Linked DNA regions of Macaca mulatta. The protein of the gene in region 2 purifies or fractionates together with the protein of the main gene of each other region. This does not show direct contact. Links are inferred from orthologs where the notes say so. Each region holds a gene or a part of one and is shown on either strand. Other genes may lie near its edges.

Region 1 (3,539 bases), on a different chromosome or scaffold from region 2:
GGGACTTTATACCAATTGCTTTCATAGGGTTAGCGGTGGTTGCATGTTAGTAATCCCACAGAATTAGGGCCACTCAAGTTGAGAGTGGGTCATTACACTTCAAGAACATAAAGCTGGTTGAAAATGTGGCTAAAAGAGAATCATGTGTACCCCTACTCCCGGTTCAGTGTATATTAGCCTACGGCTTCTTTTACTTTAAACTCGATGAATATTTTAAATTTCTAATGAAATTAAAAATTTCTAATTTCTAATGAAATTAAAAATATTGCCTATCTAGGGCCTATCTATGCCTATCTAGGGCATAAGCATGTAACTTCCAATCATTCCTTCCAAAAATGCACTTGATAAAAAAAAATAGGAGCATACATACCATCCAAGCATTATGGTGCTCTTTTAGAAAAAGGAGACCTACCTTCCCCATAGCTCTGTATTTTTCATTTAGCAAAGAATAAAGCAGCTCTTTCAGAAATTTTTGCATAGAGTAATTGGAATTTAAATTTAATAAAACCCTCACCTAACTGGTCTTAAAAATGAAATTGTTTTTAGCATATAAATCTCTCACCTGAAGCATTGTACTATGGCAATTTCATCATCCATCTCTCTGCAGGTGTTTATTGAGTGCCTATTCATTCTCGGCATGTCAGCTTTGTGAGGCAGGTAGAAATTGAACAGTCAACCTTAGTTTGACTAATAACTAAGCAAGGGAAATTAGAAAAATCCAGGAACTGAGTGAATGGAAGCTAGGTAAAGGTTACTGACTGCCTAACCAGCTCATCAGCCAATCAGGCTGTCTCCAGCTCTGTACTGTGGACAGCTCTGTCCTTACATGTAATTGTTAAACTCTACATTTCTTGCTGTCAAAAAACATGCCTTGATGGCACTAAGTTCCCTCTTCTTTTATAGTAATCCTGCCATAATTGCTAAATGACCTGTGTTCAGATTACCTGGTACCATACAAAATGGTTCTCTGGCAACAATATTATAGTATATTGTATATGAATATATTCATGTGATTTCAGCTCATCTTTTCCTCTTACCAAAAATTTAAAGCACATGTTGTGTAAATCATATGAGTATTTAATATTTAATATGGAGACTAACAGGCCTTTTATTTCCTCTCACATGCTATTTTTCTTTTTCAGTGTGAATGACATCACAGCTGTTGGACCGGCACATTTCTATGCCACAAATGACCACTACTTCTCTGATCCTTTCTTAAAGTATTTAGAAACATACTTGAACTTACACTGGGCAAATGTTGTTTACTACAGTCCCAATGAAGTTAAAGTGGTAGCAGAAGGATTTGATTCAGCAAATGGAATCAATATTTCACCTGATAATAAGTACGGCCCCTTATAGAATATCTTCATTTTTCTTCAGTTGTGGTGCTGGCCAAATTCTTTACCTTGCTTTCTTTGTCAATGTGAAAATAGTTTTCTTGACATTTATGGTGTATTATACATATAATATGTAGATACACTATATATATAATTATGTATATTTTGTATATATATTTACATATAATACATACTTAGTCACATTATTTATATGCAAATATAATACCATATATTTAAGTATACTATATAATACAATAATATATGTGTATTTACATATAATATATAAAGTTTGGAATACATCATTGTCAAATTTAATTTTATAAATATAAATTTTAAAGTGTGATCATACTGATGCATACATATTGAAGTATCAGGTATTTCCTTTCAAATAAATGTGTTATTATTTTTGTTGGCTATATATTCCATTATATATATATTATTCCATTATAAGGATGATCTTAAACTAATTTAACCAATTCTCTATTGATGGATATGTGTATGGGGGTGGGGAGTTCTACATAAAAAGTTGTATACTTCTTATGTACCATGGAAGTTTAAACAGGTATTTTTTTTTTAAAGGAAAAGTCCCTAAGATAGGGTTTTCTTTTTTTGGAGATGGAGTCTCACTCCATTGCCCAGGCTGGAGTGCAATAGCGTGATCTCAGCTCACCGCAACCTCTGCCTCCTGGGTTCAAGTGATCCTCCTGCCTCAGCCTCCCGAGTAGCTGGGATTACAGGCATGCGCCACCATGCCTGGATAATTTTGTATTTTTAATAGAGATGGGATTTCTCCATGTTGGTCAGGCTAGTCTCCTAGTCTCGAACCTCCGACCTCAGGTGATCTGCCAACCTCAGCCTCCCAAAGTGCTGGGATTACAGGCATAAGCCACCGCACCCAGCCCTAAGAGAGTATTAAAACATAATGGTTAAACTCGCAGATTTTTGACTCATACAGGCTTGGGTTCAAATCCCACTGAAGGCACTGGCTAAATGGTTCTATGAGCTAATTTTCTGTAGAACAGACCCCTAGAAATAGAACGATTTTCTCAAAGAGTGTGATTCTTTTAAATGTTAACTTTAATAGATATTGCCAAATTGTCCTCCAAAATTATCTCATTATATTTATATGCGCAACCACAACCTATAAGAGAAGATATTAAATTCTTTATTAGCTTTCTTATCTACTGCCTCAGCACACTGAAAAATTTAAACTACTACAAATACAACATAAAATAAATTTGGCACCCCTTGACAACTAAATGCCCTTATTTTTGTGATCCAGTTTCTCCTCCTTTCTTGTTGACTATAGAAAAAGAATGTGGAATCATTTAATTTAAATTGTCTCTAACTGACCTGATCCAACCTCTGCAGCCAAGTCTGTTTTTCACTCTTATATTTCCATTATGAGAGTCAAACTTTCCAGTCACCCAATCTAACAAAAAAATAACAATAATGAAAAGGGGGATTCAGCTTTTACTCCTCTTTCACTATTCCTATCCAGCCTGTAGGCAGGTCCTGTTGGTTCTACCTGTGCCTCCTTCCTCTACCCCCAAACTCCTTTCCCTTTGAGACCTGCCTAGTTTAGGTTCTTATCTTCTCTGACTAGCATATGAGACTTTCTTCCAATCTGTTTTCTGTCTACTTGGATTTTTTGCACTCTTGCCAATTTTTTCTTTCTATGTCTATCAGCCTTGAAGGGCTCCCCAAAGGGGGAACTCTGTCTTCCTCACCTTTGACCCCTCATGCCAGCACAGTGCCAGGCACAAAGCAAATGCTCAGGAATTGTGGAACAGAACTGACCATTTGTTGCCACTTTATTATTCTAAGATTTCAGTGGAATCCAATTGCTTTTCACATCAAGGCAGAGTAAAGGGTTGAACTTTCATAGGCCAGCTCCAACTTCCCTTTTTACTGTTTCCATGCTTTCTATGCTTTAGACAAAGAACTCATTGTTTTAAACATTCCTTCATCTTGTTGCTCCTGTGATTCTGCTCTTGTGCTTGCTTCTGCCTGGAAAGTGCCTCCTCCGTCCTCATCTCCTCAAATCTCGTCTCTCCTTACATAGCCACTGCAGATGCCCCTTCCTTGGTGAGCCTTTCTGTGTCCTCAGAAGTTAGCTATTTCTAGACCTGAACTATTTCTCATGCTTATTAGGTGTTTAATGTGTACAAACCAGTGAAATTGTTCCAACATACTATAAAC
Region 2 (3,824 bases):
AGGCTGAGGTATGAGAATCGCTTGAACTCCGGAGGCAGAGGTTGCAGCGAGCCCAGACTGCGCCACTGCACTCTAGCCTGGGTGACACAGCAAGACCCTGTCTCAAAAAAAAAAAAAAAGAAAAAAAAAAAAGATGTAAGCTTCACAGGGCAAGGACTTGCTCTGTTTGCTCACCTCTGGGTTATGCTCATAAAACAAGCTTATGCCCATATACCCTAGGTCAGACCCAAGAATGCTGTCCACCAATGACTGTCTCTTGCCACTTACCGTACGCAGTACAGAAAGTGCGTGTGGTAATCGGCATACACAAAGAAGTCGTCCCCTTTCTTGTGATCCAGCACGGAATGGCTGTTCTGGAAGTAATTTAACACACTCATAATGGTGCAGTTCGTGTTATATGGTGAGAGCGGGGCCAAGCAGATGTCCTGAAGTGTCACAGTCTCATTGTTGTAAGAGGCAGTAATGTTTTCGATGGCTATTTGTAAGTCAAGAACCTGAAAGAAGATTTCAAAAATAAGCAAACCCAGAAACACATCACATTTCTCTCAGATCTTGACTAGTCAGTATTGCCCTGAGGGGTCAGAAGACAAAGAGTATTTGGGGAAAATACTTCCTAAGACGAGGGAGAGCATTAAGGCGCGATACATTAAGAGAACGGGTCAGGCCCACTCTAACAGCAAACTGGTTAGACGCGTCCACAGAGGCGGCAGGGGGTGGGGGACACCATGACCAGAACAGCTATCAACACAGGACACACAACCATCTCCCTCTACCCTGCTCCAGCAGTGGCCAGCAGGCCAGAGGGGAGAGCGGAGGGGTCTCCTGGTCTCCCTGACCCTCCCCTCAATAATAACACAAAACCTCCTGCCTTGCTCTGCACTACAGCCATTTACATGTGTCCCCTTATTTCCTAACATAGAAGATGATCTTGGAGGTAAATGACTATGCTGTTCACCTTCAGCAACAAGCTGGAAAAAGCAACAGACAGTCACCGGGTAGAGAAAAGATTCTATCCAAGTCTTAGGACCATTTTAATGCTTTTCAAGATTTCAGATTTTCTTGTAGACATGAGCAATGTTTAAAGGAAAAACCATGTGATTATACATTCATTAAAAAAGAAGCGGGTATAGTTTATGCACAGGTACAGTTCTCCAAGGCAAGTGTGACAGGGACAATGGGAAGGTTTACACGCCTTTCTAGGAGCAACAGGATGGATCTTGCCCCAAATGCACCTGTCACCAAAAACAGGCTGGGTGCCCACATTCAGGCAGTGATAAGTTCATTCCTACAGGTTGGATCAGGGATGGTGACCTGGCACCTCCTTCCTCAGCCCCCAGGACAGCAGTAAGGGCTTCATGCCTCTGGGTCCTTGCATATTACTTTCAGTTACCACCAGAAAACATTCGCAAACTCCTAAGGTGACTTCCTAATAAATACATCCCGCCTCAATAGACAAATGCCACTGAAGTCTTCTTTCTCTGCTCATCTCAATTTCAAGAAAAAGGCAAGATCTACTATCTGAAGTAAATACAAAAGTGAGCAGCAATAAATATTTTCATTAAGTTCTACATCATTCACTTTCTTTTAACCTAACTTAAAGGCAGCTTTGCCATTATATGCTAAAATTTTCAAGATATACTGTGACATTCAGCCCCAAATCCCCATCCAGCAGTAGTCAACATATAAAAGGCAGCAAACCACAAGGTCCTCTGGAGTGACTTATTTCTTCAAACAGCAGGTTACCTGGTGCAATATCTGTATGTCAAGCGGAGGTCCAAAGGGTACATCGGCTCCCGAAGGGTACGGCTGGTAAGTGTGTTTGTCAGTGAGAGGGGCCCGGATGATGAGCTGCTCCGTCCGGAAGAAAGGCCCAAAGTGCTGGTCAAAGTACTCCTTCTCCAGGCGAGCCTGGCTGCTGGGGGCTGACCAGAGGTCAATCGGATTGGTTGTGACCCGGACAAACACCAGGCCCGACGAACACACAGCAATGAAGACCAGCGAGAAGAAAATGACACAGCCAGGGTTTCGGACGCAGAAAGACCCCCAGCGTGTGAACAGCCGCCTCAAGCAGCCCTCAAAGGCTGCACTGACAGGGTCGCAGCAGGACGCCTCTCCTGGAAGAGCGGGAGAGGAAGGGAGGGTGGAGGTTAAGAGCCAAGCCATTCCTGAAAGTCGGAACAGGGAAAGCATTAGCTGCTGTCTCATGGCAGGAATCAAGCCCACCTGGGGATACATATGAGACCCCTGCCCTCAGCTATCTATCTGCTCAGCAAAGTCACCTTTATTGGCTGCCCTCAATGAGCGCTGTTCCCACCCCACAGATGAGACACCGACACAGGAGCCTCTGAAGGGTGAGGTTCAACCCTGCCCTGCTATTCCCACTCTTGTCCTGCTGCTTTCGCGCCTCCCCAGCTATGATTAATTACTTGGTTCTGCTGTGCCACCCTGACTAGATGGTAGGGCCACAAAGGCAAGGACTACGTCTGCCTTGGTCGCAGCCGTGTCCTCAGCACTAGCACTCCGCCTCATCCACTGCCGCAACCCCGCTGAGCAAACGAATACTCTCATGACAGACAGCATCATCTGAACCCTTTTATTCATGGACAAATATGCCTACCTTTGTCACTTGCATTAACAGAAAAAGCTATATTGCTATCGATGGGAGTGTACTCGGAGACAAAATACCGTTTTCTGAAAAACAGAAGAGAGGAAATAGTATTAGTGGACTTCATCACAATGAGGCTGTTGTTGGGACATTCCTGTAATCCCATGAAATGCTTTCTTCCTCCTCTTCGCCTCCTCCTCCCTAATTACTGCCTTCTTTCCCCTAAGTTTCCTTGCTCTGGGTGCCTCTGTTCACCAGTCTCAGGAGAAAACTTAAGAAGATATTAAAAGAACAGTTAATAAAGGATAATTTCACCTTGTGGCCCTCATTTTATTTAAAACTTTTAGGTCTTTTAAGAACACGCTACCGGGCCGGGCGCAGCGGCTCACGCCTGTAATCCCAGCACTTTGGGTGGCCAAGGTGGGCGGATCACGAGGTCAAGAGATCGAGACCAACCTGGCCAACAAAGTGAAACCCTGTCTCTACTAAAAATATAAAAAAGTTAGCTGTGTGTGGTGGTGTGTGCCTTGGGAGGCTGAGGCAGGAGAACTGCTTGAAACTGGGAGGCGGTGGTTGCAGTGAGCTGAGATGGCGCCACTGCATTCCAGCCTAGTGACAAAGACTCCATCCCAAACAAACAAACAAACAAACAAAAAACCACGCTACCCCTTCCAGTAGCAAAGAGCACACCTAGTGCGCAGATCTTCGTTTCTACATACCGCTCTTGAATAAAAGCAACCAGAGCTCCTGCAAGGCAGGGACAGGGAAAATATAAGATAAAGCTGGGGATGGGAGGTGTATGTAAGAACACAGAAGGCCGGGCGCGGTGGCTCACACCTGTAATCCCAGCACTTCGGGAGGCCGAGGTGAGCAGATCACGAGGTCAGGAGATGGAGACCATCCTGGCTAACATGGTGAAACCTGTCTCTACTAAAAATACAAAAAATTAGCCAGGCGCCTGTGGTCCCAGCTACTCGGGAGGCTGAGGCAGGAGAATGGCGTGAACCCAGGAGGCGGAGCTTGCAGTGAGCTGAGATCGCGCCACTGCACTCCAGCCTGGGTGAGAGCGACACTCTGTCTCAAAAAGAAGAACACAGAGGTCAGCCAGAAGCCACTCCCAATGGCCCAAACTGGAAAACTTTGAGTAACAAGATAAATGACAGTGTTGGATACAACCAACAGAATTGAAAGTCCATGATGTAAATAACTGAGTAAATAA

The links.
Region 1: the proteins of NPC1 (region 2) and PON2 purify together in Homo sapiens (affinity purification with mass spectrometry; 3 studies listed by BioGRID and IntAct, with this or other methods). This does not show direct contact. The link is inferred for Macaca mulatta from reciprocal best matches to the Homo sapiens genes NPC1 and PON2.

The regions. Positions count from the first base shown.
Region 1 is NC_133408.1:123,971,570-123,975,108, forward strand, and holds part of PON2 (serum paraoxonase/arylesterase 2), read left to right. Parts: intron 1-1,142; coding exon 1,143-1,343; intron 1,344-3,539. UniProt on the Homo sapiens protein: Capable of hydrolyzing lactones and a number of aromatic carboxylic acid esters. Has antioxidant activity. Is not associated with high density lipoprotein.
Region 2 is NC_133423.1:68,847,793-68,851,616, reverse strand, and holds part of NPC1 (NPC intracellular cholesterol transporter 1), read right to left. Parts: intron 2,692-3,824; coding exon 2,618-2,691; intron 2,166-2,617; coding exon 1,744-2,165; intron 495-1,743; coding exon 268-494; intron 1-267. UniProt on the Homo sapiens protein: Intracellular cholesterol transporter which acts in concert with NPC2 and plays an important role in the egress of cholesterol from the endosomal/lysosomal compartment.